Canis lupus familiaris: one gene and its partner. The protein of the gene in region 2 interacts with the protein of the main gene of each other region in a biochemical or structural test. Links are inferred from orthologs where the notes say so. Each region holds a gene or a part of one and is shown on either strand. Other genes may lie near its edges.

Evidence for each region.
Region 1: the proteins of TRIM7 (region 2) and RNF187 interact in a test that uses a peptide from one of them, tested with the Homo sapiens proteins (2 studies listed by BioGRID, with this or other methods). The link is inferred for Canis lupus familiaris from reciprocal best matches to the Homo sapiens genes TRIM7 and RNF187.

What each region holds. Positions count from the first base shown.
Region 1 is NC_049235.1:238,784-246,062, forward strand, and holds RNF187 (E3 ubiquitin-protein ligase RNF187), read right to left. Parts: upstream 4,385-7,279; coding exon 4,341-4,384; intron 3,918-4,340; coding exon 3,188-3,917; intron 1,845-3,187; coding exon 1,752-1,844; intron 1,558-1,751; coding exon 1,336-1,557; intron 997-1,335; coding exon 994-996; 3' UTR 697-993; downstream 1-696.
Region 2 is NC_049232.1:581,092-588,282, reverse strand, and holds the start of TRIM7 (E3 ubiquitin-protein ligase TRIM7), read left to right. Parts: upstream 1-2,777; 5' UTR 2,778-2,947; coding exon 2,948-3,490; intron 3,491-4,662; coding exon 4,663-4,758; intron 4,759-4,764; exon of another isoform or gene 4,765-4,921; intron 4,922-5,660; coding exon 5,661-5,891; intron 5,892-6,863; coding exon 6,864-6,886; intron 6,887-7,170; coding exon 7,171-7,191. UniProt on the Homo sapiens protein: E3 ubiquitin-protein ligase that have both tumor-promoting and tumor-suppressing activities and functions in several biological processes including innate immunity, regulation of ferroptosis as well as cell proliferation and migration.

The DNA.
Region 1 (7,279 bases), on a different chromosome or scaffold from region 2:
GGACACCCAGCCTCCACCGTCTTTAATGGCTCTGAGTCAACATTCCGGGATCCCTCGTCCCCACTGCCTCACTGTCACTTGCATGAATTTACATCGTGCTGCTCCCACAAGTCGTGTTCCCACTACATTCATCTACGGAAGGAAACTGAAGCAGAGGAGGCCAGGAGCAGAGGGAGATGAGACACCTTATCCAGGCCTGGGGGTGACCAGCGCCCTGAACGGTTCCTCTGCCCCAGGAAAAACACTCGGGTCAGCCAAGGACAGGCAGGTTGGCAGGGGTCGGGGAAAGGAGGGTGAGGTTGAGGCAGGTCCAGGTCACCCAGGGGCAGGTGGTGCAGAGAAATGAGCACAGCCATGTGGACACTGGGAGGCAGAGGGGTGACAGCTTCAAGGACACAGTGCCCCAGACACGGACCCCACAAAGTTCCTGAAGACAGAGCTGGCGCTAGAGGTATAGGCTCTGTGGGACCCATGCTGTTGGGGGCTCAAGCCAGAAGCAGGTCTGAGCCGCCTGCCTGCCCTCCCCACCCTGATGCCCTGAGCCTCTTTCCCTGCACATACACCTCATATGTACCCCTAGCAGGTCTGCACATCCAGTGGAACGGCCCCATGGTGGGTGGCTTTTCAATGGGGTGGACGACCCAGGCTGCCCAAGACACTGCCGGCCACGGAGACCCCAGGCCAATGAGACTCGGCGGCAGCGACAAGAGCTTTATGAAGAGTCATGATACACTGGGGTGAACGGTGCCCCGGCTATAGGTCTCTAGGGTCACATGTGTGGAGCCTGGGGAACATGAATGCCCAGAGGAAGAGGGAACAGGGATACTCTCTGGCACAACCCATGGTGGGCACCTGTGGTACACATCCTGCGTGTACACCTAGGAGCAGACCCTCGAAGGTGAAGGATGCTGTGGGTCCAGGAGGCAGCAATGGCGGGCCAGGCCACGGTGGGTGCAGCTTCTGGGGCCTGGAGCCAGCAGAGGGGGCAGGAGCTCACTGCAGGGGGAGGGGAAGGAGGGGGGAGGAGAGACCCAGGCCTTGAGGCGCCCCCAGCTTCTGGCATCTCCCCCAGGCTGGAGCCTCAGTGCAGCCACTCCACCCCTGGGAGCTGATTACTCAGCCGTTCCAGAATTGGAACAGCACCCCAGGGACCTGAAGACAAAAGGGCAGGGGCTGCCAGACCTGCCATAGACAAGGGGTGTTTACAGGCCAGAGTCCCAGAGTCAGTCCTCCCATCCAACCTTGAGCAGGAGCTGCCTGGCTGGTGGGAAGCCCTGTGCCCTAGTGAGTTGCCTCCTCGCCCTCCCTTGGGGTCTGCAGTAAGGGGGTGCCCACCTGGAGCAGCATGCTGAGGCCCAGGTTGCGGTGCCTATGCTCCAGCTCCGACACAGCCTGCAGCAGGGACCCAAAGCGCTCAGCCGGGTCTGAGTCCTCATCCTCCAAGGACCCCTCGTCTTTATCCGCCTCCTGCAGAAAACGCGCCTCTTCCTCGGCAAAGAAGGCCCGCAGCTTCTTGTAGTCGGTGAGGGCTTTCTTCCGGCGGTCCATCACATGTCCCTGCAGGGCAGGAAGCAGACGGCAGGGACACCTGTGCCCCGGGATCCACCCTGGGGCCTCCCGCCCCACTGCTACCCACCCCGGGGAGGGGGGTTTGCTGCAGTGTGCAGCACCCAGCCGCACCCCCACCGATCCGGGTCAGGGCCCACACCCACATCCCCTCCTTGGGTGCGCCCCAGGCCTACGCCACTTGCCTTCCACACGGCCGCAGCAGACTCGGCCTGGCCATGCAGGTCCCGTGCATCGTTCAGGTCTTTTCTCATGATCTCCACCGACCCCTTGTTCTCCTAAAAAGACACGCGGGTCGCTGGTGGACACACAGTCAGAAGGCCCAGGGTCCCCCAGCCAGTCTGGGGACAGGCTCAGTGTGTGATCTTGACCTGTCAGACTCCACAGAAAGGGGCTGCAGGTACCAGAGGGGGGTCTCTGCAGGCCCATTAAGCTCTCTGCAGAAAGAAGCCTGACAAATGCACCTGCTAGGAATACAATCAGGCAACTGGATATGAGACTATCCCGTGGGCTCCCTAGCGTTCCTGTCACCTAGGGTCCCCAGACCCTACACCTGTGGGTTCCCCCAGCAGGAGCATAGCCCAGCTCCAATCCACCCCCAGGGTGCTCAGGGGAGCCCAGGCTGTCTTTAATGACATAATGTGACCCCCCTTTAGGGGGTGTCCCCAGGCCCCCAGCTACAGCCAGACTCTTCCACTGTGGGTTTCTACCTAGGGTCAGGTGCCCCATGCACTGGTCGACTGCAACAGCCAAGCTTTCAGGATGGAGTGGGGAAGCATCTGGGTGAAGGGAGGGGGCACCTGGACCACAGCAGCTGCCAGCCCACGCTTGCCGCCCGGTCCAGCCCGCGGGGGTGGGGCTGCTGCGGGGTGACATCACACGTGGAGGCGGGGCCAACAGATGAACGCCCACCTCGGACGGGGGTAGTGGTAGAACCCTCCGAAAATGGAACAGGGGCTGCGTGTGCGAGGTGGAGGAGGAGAATGGTCCAGGGACGGGAGCGTGCACAGAACGCCCTTCAGGGGTGCGGGATAAGGCGAGGGGGCGATGTCCGGGGATGGGCGAGGGGGAACAAAGCACGTCCTGGGGGAAGGGACCCTGGTTGGAGAGAGGACCCGGCACCTTCCGACCGGGCGGGGCGGGGCGGGGCTTGGACGGAGGATCGGACACCATTCTGAAGATTGAGAGGGGAGACAGGATACCGTCCCTCCGGGAGAGGGGCCTGGGTTCCGGATGGGGAGACAGGGAACCCTGGGGGCGGGTGGCAGGATGCCATCTGGAGACAGGGACCCAGGTTCGGAATGGGGGAAGGGAAGCCAGCGGAGGGTGGGGACTGGGAGGCAGGGCAGGGGACAGGGAGCAGAGCAGTCTGGGGCGCGGACCCGGGTTGGAGAGCGGGGACAGGACAACATCTAAGGGTGAGGGGTGAACGGCTGGGGAGGAGGGGCCGGGCGCCATCCGAGGATGCCGGGGGTCAGAGCACCGGGCGGGGGGCGGGGGGCGCGGGGCAGGGGCCGGGGTGGGGAGGGGGTGCGGGCCACCGTCTGAGGGCGGAGGAGAGGGAAACGGGGCCCCGTCCGGGGCCCTGTCCGGGGCGGCGGCCGGTCCCGCCCGCGCGCACCTTGCCGCGCAGCGCCTTCCTCCAGCGCGGCTCCCACTCGGGCGGCTCGGGCCCCGCGGCCATGCGGCAGGCGGCGCACAGCGGGCCCCCGTCGGCGCGGCACAGCAGCTGCAGGGCCGCCTCGGAGGCCGGGCCGTCGCGCGCGGGCGCCGCGGCCGCCTCCTCGAGCGCCAGCAGCCGGCGGCTGAGGGGCGGGCGGCCGGGCTCCACCGCGCGCTGCCAGCAGTCGTCGGCGCACTCGGGGCACGGGAAGGGCCCGTCCTCCTCGGCCCAAAAGCGCACCACGCACGCCCGGCAGAAGCGGTGGCCGCAGTCGGCGCGCACCGGCTCTCGGGGCGCGCGCTGGCACAGGGCGCAGGCGGCCTCGGCTGGGCCCGCGGGGAGCGCCAGGGCGGCGGCGGCGGGGGCCCTGCGGGCGGGCGCGGCCGGCGGAGAGGCGGCGGGCACGGACCGAGAAGGGCGCTGGGGAGCGCGGCCGCAGGGCACGGCGCGGCGCAGGCCGGGACGCGGACGGCGGCGGGGACGCGCGGGCGGTGACGGAGGGGCGCCGCACGCAGGGTCCTGGCAGCGGTGTGCCTGACGCTCGCGGAGCCCGGCCGGCCGCGCCTCCGCACGAGGTCCTGGCAGGGGTGCGCGCCGCGCTCCGGGGTCCTGGCAGCGGTGCTCCCGCCTCCCGCCTCCCGCCTCCCGCGGGTCGCTCTCCAGTCCGCGGGCCGGCCCGCCTGCCCGCCTTCTCACGGGCCGAAATCTTCCCAGGGTTATCGCTTAGCCCGGAAATGACACCTGGACGAGAGGGAAGCCGTTTTATTTTTATTTAAGACTTTATGTATTTATTCATGAGAGACACGGCGGGAGGGGGAGGGGAGAGCGAGAGAGAGAGGCAGAGGGAGAAGCAGGCTCCACGCAGGGAGCCCGACGTGGGACCCGATCGGCCGTGGGCCAAAGGCAGGCGCTAAACCGCTGAGCCAGCCGGGCTGCCCCTATTTTTTTTTACGAAGATTTCATTATAAAAGTGTTTTTGTAAGCTGCTAGGACCTGAGCTGCGAGCTCCCCGCCCACGCTGGGCTGGGGCTGGGGCTGGGGCTGGGGCTGGGGCTGGGGCTGGGCTGGGGCCGGGCTGAAAACGGCTGACGTGGGACCCCCGCGTGTGCACCGGTTCTGCACGCGCCGCCCCGCCTGGGCCCGCTCCCGGTGCATCCCCTCGACGCGTGGGCCCTCTCCCGGCGCATCCTCTCTGCATGCGGTTCCCCGAGTGTTCCCTCTCCTGCTGCATCCGCTCTGCACGCGCCTCCTCGCGTGAACCGCCCCGCACGGGACCGGTCCTGTCCCCGGGCATAACAGGCCTCCAGCCCACTGTCCCGCGCGTCCCTAGCGGAGGAATCCGGAGGCAGGGAATGAGTATGTCCCATGAGACCCAAAGCTCCAGGATCCCAGACATTTGTTAGCATTTCTTTAGGGGGAAAAATTTGGAGAGAGGAGCAATCTGGTTGGTTGTATTGTGCCCAAGGTTGCGAATCCGAGAAACCACCAAGGAGCCGACACCGATGCAAACACATGAGGGTTTATTAACAAGCTCGAGCTTGGGTCCAAGTACACCCGACACAGCGGAGCAGGGACTTGGACCCCGAGGTGGGCTCCAACTGGGTTTTTATGGGCTGGTCTAGGAGGAAGGTGGGATTTTTCAGTAATGGTGGGGGTGTGAGAGTCTCCAGTAAAGAGGTCTCACAAGCTCTTGCTTCCTTATTCTAATAAGGGCGCGATTTGTTGTTGTTGTTGTTGTTGTTTTTGTTTTTTTCTGTAGCCAGGGTAAGGTAGAGTTCAGTACCTGGTCACAGTAGCCTGGTCGCAGTGGTCTGAGACTGCTACCAAAGCTACAGTGTGCTTGTGCCAATGTTAAACTTGAATGGCCCTAATTTTCTCAGCCTCCACAGTTATTTTCAAAACAAGCAAGCATGCAGTTGAAATAAAAAATTACTGTAACTTAGCACTACATAATTTTTAAGTGTTAAAAAATTAGTTTGTTATTCCATACAGATGCAGATTGTGTTACATTGCTTCCAGTTTTGTGTTATTAAAATTTGGCATAGACCTGAGAATGCATGGAAAGTGTAACTAGCGAAGTAAGGTTAGTTCTGTTCCATAATGGTCAGAAGAAGGCTTCAAACCCAGCGCACCCAATTAGTTGGGTAAACTAAGAACCTAATGGAGATGAGATGCCTGGGTGGCTCAGCTGTTCAGCTTCTGCCTCCCGCTCAGAGCATTATCCCCATGTCCTGGGATGGAGTCCTGCATTGGGCTCCCTGCATGGAGCTTCTCCCTCTGCCTGTGTCTCTGCCTCTCTTTCTCTCTGTCTCTCATGAATAAATAAATAAAACCCTAAACAACAACAACAACAAAAAGAACCTAGTGAAGAGAACAGAGAGAGGAAGGAAGGAGTTCAACAAATTCCATGATATTCAGTGAGTAGAACAGTAAATAGGAACAGGAATGGTCAAAAGCCAAACTTGCAAAGTTTGAACTACAAACATACAAAAGTTCATAAAATTTGGTACAGAAAAAATATAATTGAGAAATAGCCCCCCCCCCCCATAGGATGTGTCAGTTCACAGAAAAAAACAATTACTGAATAGATTGTTGTGTATGGATAGAGGTTTCTGTGATCTGCTCAGCGGGACTGACCACCTGCACCTGCACATGCACAGGCAGGCTAAGATGTGGTTTGTGAGACTCAGGCTGTGTGCATGATCTTGAGAGACTGGTTATTTAAAATATGTCATCTGGCCTCCAGGTCGGCACCGGCCCTTCTGGTCTGGACACATAGAGCCTCAAATCTTGTCTTGCATCCTGTCCTGCTGCAGGCAGGGCTGGCCCTCCAGGATGGGTTCCAGGAGGGTAGGCAGACACACCTAGCCCAGGATCCTTGAAAATATAGTACATATTGCAGTGAAAATGCAGCTCGCTCTTCCTAGGGGAACAGATGCCTAGCTTCAGACCCCGACATTTGCCCTATAAACACAGCCCTTTGGAGACGGTCAGTTAGAAGTCTTACCTCAGGGGAGGACACGCCACCCAGGGCTCTCAGTGTGGACTCCAGCCTGGCTGTCTCCAGCGGGCTTCCTCAGCTAGTGAGGTTGGATGTTCTGGTACCTGACTTGATGTAGTTCTGTCTTATTCGCATTTGTTGCCTACTATCACCTTCGTCTATGTGTAGCTTCCTTTCCTCTTCTATTAGGTTTCTATATGTGCTGCCAAAGCGAGCAATCTTCTATTAGGTTTCTATATGTTTTCTTTCCTTTTTGAAACCAAATCACAGCTGTTATAAACCTTTTGTTCAGATCATAGATGTGGGGGAAAAATACACTCTGGCCAGGTTAAGAAATAGGAACATAAAATAAGATTTTTCTTCACCATTAAGTTAGCAGACACCCCCCCCAAAAAAAAAAAAAACCTGGATTTTGCAAATATTGCTTCTGGGAGACAAGGTAGCAATATGTAGTCAGGACCTTCAGAATTTTAATAACCTTTGCAATTTCTTTTTCCAAAATATGATCTATTAAAATAAACCCAAATGGAAATAAAACCTTTCCTGATTTGGCTTGGTTTGGTTTTGAGAAATGTTTGTCACATCACTATTTGGGGAAAAAAACCAAAAACCTCAAATTTCCAGTAATAGAGAATGAACAAGTTGTAGTAGTCATCCATCCGAAAATGTGTGCATGAGTTGCATCCCAATGTTTATAGCAGCAATGTCCACAACAGCCAAACAATGGAAAGAGCCCAGATGTCCATCAACAGATGACTGGATAAAGAAGATGTGGTCTATATACACAGTGGGGTATTACTCAGCCATCAAAAAGAATGAAATCCTGTCATTTGCAATGACTTGGGTGAAACTATAGTGTATTATGTTAAGTGAAATAAGTCAGAGAAAGACAAATACCATGATTTCACTCATGTGGAATTTAAGAAAGAAAACAGATGAACATAGGAGAAGGGAAGGAAAAATAAAATCAGATGAAAATTGAGAGACAAACCATAAGAGACTCTTAACTTTGGGAAACAAACTGAGGGTCGCTGGAGGGGAGATGGGTG
Region 2 (7,191 bases):
TTCATTTGCAACGTAGACCCGGCCGCTAAACAGCCCGGAAATTCAAACTTCGCAGGTCCTACCTGACCGCCCCTCCCACCTAGGTCTGTTTAGTGCTTGCTCTGCTCTAAACATCGACCTAACATTTTTCCATTCCCGGAAAGCGCAGGACGCGAGGAAAGGAAAACAAGAGCCACCTAACGCCACTAGCAGGATCACTTCGTGAAACTTTCATCAGGAGTTTAGATGTAGGGTCTGGGGATTGTAGTGGGCGGGTCCCGCCGCCTCCCCTTCCGATCTGGGAAAACTCAAAGATACGGGATTTCCGGGCTCTGCAAACATTTAGCGTTTAAATACTTAGTAAGAGGAAAGTAAAAGTAACGCACACCGGCGCTGGAGATGCCGGGGATCGAACCCGGGGCCTCATACATGCAAAGCATGCGCTCTACCACTGAGCTACATCCCCACGTTACTAGAAAGTTTCCCAGTATGTTCCCTTGGCTGTTTATTAGCATAGAGAGCGTGCAGCTATCCTGGCAAGACAATCCAGCTACTGCAAAGCCGGTCTGGCAAAGCCTGTCCCGCAACGCCAGGAGCCGTGTTTGGGTTCTCTACTGACTGCAGGCGAGCGGATTTCCACTGAGGGACACTCGCGGGGACATCGAGCTGGAATAAACATCTGAAGGCAGCAGTGGAAAGTGTAGGAGAAATCATCAGGCACGATGCCCAAAATGAACTCAGCGGAAGAAGGAAAGTAAGGAAGACTGTGCAGGCTGCTACCGTTTGTTAAACAAGAAAAAGGAGAGTGCACCAAACTATACAATATCTGTATAAAATAATTCAGAATTGCAAAGTTGTTCTCTTGGGATGGGGAGGAGACTGGAATGCAGACGATGGGCACACTTTTCGCTGTGAAACTCTTTGTATATCTGAATTTTGAACAACGTTTAAATCAGTTCAATCCAAGAAAAGTTTACCAGTCTCTTACTATGTAACAAGAACCGCTTTAGAAGTCTGAGGGGTCCAACCCGTAACAAAACCAACTCAGTCATCCCCTTAACATCTCAAATTCCAGAGGAGGTAGTGTTATGAAACAGCCAGGTTGAAGGACAATGTGTTAAGATGCAATTTTAAACAATGTGGTTAGGGCAGGTTCTGCTGAGAGGATGACATTTGAAACAGGACTTGAAGGAGGTGGGAAGTAAGCCAAGCAAGTATGGGAAAAGAGAAGTGCAAGTACAAGTAAAAGCCAGTTCAAAGGTCCTGAAGTAGGAGCTTGTTGGCATGTTGCAGGAATAGCAAGGAGGTCCCTGTGGCAAGAGAGGAGTGGATCAACAAGGAAGAGTGACAGGAAATGTAGGTAGAGTCTGGGTGCAGGGGATGGGGTCAAAGAATGGGTAGGGCTTTAGGAGGATTACAAAGACTTCAACTTTTACTTTGAGCAGTGGGAGCCAATGAAGGGTCTGAGCAGAGGGGAACCTAACCTTGCTCTGACTTAACATTTCAACAGGACTGTTCTCACAGCTCGATGGAGAAGACAGGGTAGGGCAGTGTGTGACAGAAGGGGATAGAACTGTTGTGATCATCAGATCATGGAAGGTGGTACACAGATCATGGAAGGGTGTGAGAGAGTGAGGACACAGAGGGGACTGAAGGTGGAGTCTGTGCAATGTGTTCCTCTTGGGAGTCACAGAGGACTCCCTGGTATGGCCTGAACACCTGAAGGGATAGAGTTGCTGTTAACTGGGGTTGGGTGGGGAAGGCTCTGGAAAGAACAGGTGGAGGGCAGATTTGAAGTATGGTGTTGTTTATGGTGAGTGTGTGATAGTCCACAGAACATGCTGCTGGGACTTGGATGTGGAAGCCAGACATAGTAGGAGACACTGGGTGGGGATGTGTATTGTGGCCTCAGCAAGAATAGGGTCTTTCAGGCCAAGAAAATGGAAGAGATCAGTAGTATAGGACTGAGCAAGTGGAGGAAGAGGAGGAAGAAACCACAAGAGTGGCCAAGAAAAAGGTAGGAGGCCACGGATGCAGTTGGAGAGCCAGGGCCTATGGCATCCTGGAAGGTGCCAGGGAAGTGGCAGCAAGGAGGAAGCATTGGAGGAAAGGGCAAATGAAGTGAGGCCTGAGAAAGAGCCTTTGCCTTTGAGTTAGGATCTCTGAGGTCACTGGTGACCTTGACAAGACTGGTTTCTGAGGAGGGTGGTGTCTAAAGCCTGCCCTGGGTGACCTCAGGAGTGAGGAAAGAAGTGGAAGCCAATATTCCTGGCAGTTCTGGAGGGACCGCAAAGGGCTGGGTTATTTTGGTGGAGATTACAGTAGGGAAAGGTATTGTAAATGTTTTATTTGTTCAAAGCCAAAAATTGAATAAACAAGGAGGGGAGAACCACCGTGGGAAAAGTAGCCACAGACGTGGTTACAAAGCCAGGATTGGGGGTGGGGGCAAGAGCCACCTTCCAGACACTAAATTTAGCTCGCCCCGGGTCAGGACAAACCTGTACTGCGGGAACCTGACACTGTGGCCAGGGCGCTGGGCCCTTGGACATCCCGGCAACCGGGAGTGGCGCCCAGCTGGGTGTGTGCGCCCACCTGTCCGGGCCCGTTTCCCACGTCTGACTGATCCAGGCAGGGGGTGGACAAGGGGGGTCGCGGAGGGGCTGCGCAAGGGGGGCGCCGGAGGAGGGTGCCAGGAGACCAGCGGAGCCGCAGACCACGGCCGGGGTTCACGCGGCCAGGGCGGCCCAGGGCGGGGACGCGCGGCGCTGGCCTGCACTCGGCCCGCCTACAGACACGCTCTCGCGCTCTCGTGTCCCAGCCCGGCAAGCTCGCGGCTCGAGTCTCTGCCAGCCCGACTTCAGCCCCGCCCTTCCTCTCCCAGCGGGTGCTCGGAGGCCTCCTCGGGCCTCTGCACCCCTCGCCCCTCGACGTCCCCGGCACCGCCCGACCCGGGGCGCTGGGGGAGCGCATGGCGGCGGTGGGGCTGCGGACGGACCCCGGGGCCGGGGCCGAGGCGCTGGCCCTGGCGGCAGAACTGCAGGGCGAGACCACCTGCTCTATATGCCTGGAGCTCTTCCGCGAACCCGTGTCGGTCGAGTGCGGTCACAGCTTCTGCCGCTCCTGCATAGCGCGCTGCTGGGAGCGCCCCGGCCCCGGCCCCGGCCCCGGCCCCGGCCCCGGCCCCGGCCCCGGCCCTACCGCAGCGCCGCGCGCGCTGCCCTGCCCGCTGCCCTGCCCCCAGTGCCGGGAGCCAGTGCGGCCCAGCCAGCTGCGGCCCAACCGGCAGCTGGCCTCGGTGGCCACGCTGCTGCGGCGCTTCAGCCTACCCGGGGCCGCGCCCGGCGAGCGCGCACTCGCGGAGGCGGCCTGGGCGGGTTGCGCCCTGCATGGCGAACCACTCAAGCTCTACTGCCAGGACGACGGTCGCGCCATTTGCGTGGTGTGCGACCGCGCCCGCGAACACCGCGCGCACGCGGTGCTGCCCCTGGATGAGGCTGTGCAGGAGGCTAAGGTAAGCGCCCGCGCCCCCCGTGCAGGTCCCCAGGGCCCCAGCCCGGGTTCCGCCTGCCTGCATGTGCGGGGCAGAGGGCAAGCAGGCAGGCCTGCGGGAGGCCCGGGTGAGACCCTGCCGCTTCTCTCCTCTGCCACGCTAGCCAGCCTTGCCCTGGGACTCAGGGCAGCGCTCTCCGTGTCACCGCTACATCATTAATACCATCCTACCCGCCACCTCGAGTTTCCCTCTGGGCTCCTTCCTGGACCACCTTCGCGATACCTCTACAGACTTGGCGATTTTCATCCTGCTTGTCAGCCCCTGGCTTCTAGCAGCGCTGCCATCACACCCACACTTCCTCTGTCCACCCTCTCGGCCCTTTCCCTGCGGTGGCTCTGTGCTGCGTCCTGGGCCGAGTGGGGCGACTTTTCCAGGAGACTGGGGTAAGGCAGCGGGTGCCTGCTGCCTGGTTTGAGTGGAGCAGCAAAAGCTGTCGGTGGGCTGTGTCAAACATGTGGATCTTGGGCACTCTCTTTCCTGCCTCCTTACTGCCTCAGCACACAGCCCCCAGTCTTTTACTCTTTATTCCACTTCAGCCCTCCCACCCAGATGGCTTTCTGGTTCTGGGAGGGGTTTAGAGTTTTTTAAAATTTAAATTCAATTAGCCAACATATAAGTACATACTTAGTTTCCGATGTGGCATTCAACAATTTATCAGTTGCCTATAACACATGGTGCTCATCACATCCCATGCCCTCCTTAATGCCCATCCCCCAATTACCCCATCTCCCACCCACCTCCCTTCTAGCAACCCTGTTTGTTTCGAATAAGTAAGAGTCTCTCGTGGTTTGTCTCCCTCCCAGACAGCTTTCTGATGGTGAGGAGGAAAACAGAGGGGAAAACTAGGTAGGTTGGGCTGCTACAGGGCCTGCCTGCATTTCGGCTTGGATTGTGAACAGATGGTCTGGAGAAGTGAGACCTTGGGGCCTTAGGAGTCACCCTTCAGTTGCCCCGTACACCTATGTACTTCTGTGCAGGCTATAGCCATCTGGATGTCCAGATATGGCTTCAGCCCTGCCTCCTATTCTTCAATGAAGAGGGTCTTCTCTTTCTCCTAGATGGCTCCAGAAAGGCACATGTAGGGGTTTCCAGAGGCCTCTTACCATAATGTCTCCTTTCTCACCCTTTTGCAGGAACTCCTGGAGTCCAGGCTGAAGGTCTTGAAGAAGGATCTGGAGGACTATGAAGCATTTCGTTCCACTGAAGAGAAGGAGAGCAAGGAGCTTCTGGTGAGCGGGCATCCTCCAGGTGGATCCTCTTTGGGTGACAACAGAGGACCACCCACCATCCTGGGCCTGTGTGTGCACTCTTTAAAAAGAAGTAAAGTGAAGAGTGAAAGTTGGAGGAGTAACAAATGTTAAAGGACAACATTTAGCTGAGTAAAATTTGCAGGTATTATTGGCTTTATTCAGCAATTCATGAATTGAGCAGCATTCCATCTGGCAGATAGAAAAGAACTCTGAAAAGCTATACAAAGCAAAAGAATTTATAGGCAGACATGAGCAGGAACAAGGAATTTATACTAGGCCAAAAAGCAGATTGGTTATTGCAGTTACTTTCCCTGTTGGGGAGGGTAGAGGTTTATCAGGCAGTTACTTAACCAATACTGATCAGGTAATTCCTGATTGGCTGATGTGAGATTCTCTTTCTGAGAAAACTGAAACTGTGATTAAGTCTCTGTTTCCTAATGTGGGACTTAGCATCAGTGACTCCATTTTGAGCCTCTTGTGTAGTTTCTAACTCAAAATAAATGTGTTTGGGGGTGGAAAGGAAGTGACCTCAGTTTAATCTTTACAGTGGCTCTGGGAGACATTAAGTAATGTCCTAAATATTTCTCCTACTTTCCAAGTGAGACAGCTGCATCCCTGGGTGGTTCTGGGGCAAATCTGAAGTTGCCCTAGGTAGGTGGGAGAGCACATTTGTGACAGGGAACTCGAGAGCATGTGTTGAAACTGCTGTGTAAGGATATCTAAACTAGAGGATGTGTGTGGTGGGTATGTGTAGGTGAGCCTCTGACCCCTGAACAGTGAGATGAGTGGAATTCTGTCCTGTGGAATGGCTCAGATGCTACTGTCCAAATGCTACATCTTGACATCCCATTGCCTATCCCAATTCTCCCCTCCTGAGACAGAAGCAGATGGCAGCTGAGCGAGAGAAGGCGGGCGCGGAGTTCCAGGCACTGAGGGCCTTCCTGGTGGAGCAGGAAGGCCGGCTCTTGGGCCGCCTGGAGGAGCTGTCCCGGGAGGTGACACAGAAGCGGAATGAGAACATAGCTCAGCTTGAGGGTGAGATCACCCAGCTCTCCAAGCTCAGCAGCCAAATCCAGGAGACATCTCAAAAGCCTGACCTTGAATTTCTCCAGGTGAGTCTGGATTGGCCAAGAAGTATGAATCATTTATCCCCAGGCATCACAAATGGCAAGTGAGAACAGAGTCAGGTTCTGTGAATTTAGTAGAATCACATACTCAAGCAGAAGGGGACTGCAGAAAAGTGCCCTTCTTCTCCTGGGTTTAAAGGTCTAAAAAGATGTGGTAAAACTGTCTTGACCTTGAGCCGCAATAAAGATCTTATTGGCTTTACTCAACAATTCATGAATTGGGCTGAATACAATCTAGCAGACAGAAAGGAGTTCCAAAGAGCTGTATACAAGGTGTACGTCATATTCCAGTATATAAACCTTGTGACAAAAATCTCAGAAAATAATACTTATCTTTAGTACATGTAATGCGTTTTTTGACATTTTCTATTTTATTTCCTTTTAAAATAGTCACAGGGACGCCTGAGTGGCTCAGTGGTTGAGCTTCTGCCTTTCGCTCATGGCGTGATTCTGGGATCTGGGATTGAGTCCCACATCGGGCTCCTTGCAGGAGCCTGCTTCTCCCTCTGCCTGTGCTTCTGCCTCTCCCTCGTGTTTCTCATGAATAAATAAATAAAATAAATAGTCACAATCCACAAATAAACTTCACAAGGCACAAATGGGTCAAGCATACTCATTTAGAAGATACTGGTCTGAGTGGCCAGTCATTGCGGAAGGGCTATGACTTCCCTGGAGTGGTGTCGGGAGCAGAGGCAACACTGGATACCAGCACATGGCTCCAGTGATGATTCAGTAATGAAGGGAGCATTTGCAAAGCCCTGGGAAGGGAGGCGATGAGACACCCAGCAATCAGGCACAACAGGAAGCCACTGCCCTCTGGGCCACATGCAGGTGGTTGGGGGTGGTACACCTTATTGCTTACTCTCTAGAAGTAGGGCAAGAGGCCAGTTTTATTTTCTCAAAGGTGACTGGTGGTTACGTGATGCTGAGTTGGTTTTCTTTCATCTTTCTCACCAGGAATTCAAAAACACCTTAAGCAGGTGAGTGGACCTAGGAGTGCCTTAGGCCTCTACAAGCTGGCTCTTCTTTTCCACTGAGGTCTCTCTCTTCATTCCCTCACTGCTGACCTCTCACCTCCCAACTCCCACACCTCCTTACCAATGTAACTTCTAAGGCAAATGTCCACCTGACTGGCTGTGGATATTCTGTTGTAAGACCAGCCTCTTCTTTCTTTGCCTCTCCCCACCAAAGAGGACCTTGCCATCCTCAGTCCGGTGGGAGTAGGACAGTATTTGCGGGCTTCCTCTGGGTCTTTGTCCTGCAGGTGCAGCAATGTGCCTGGCCC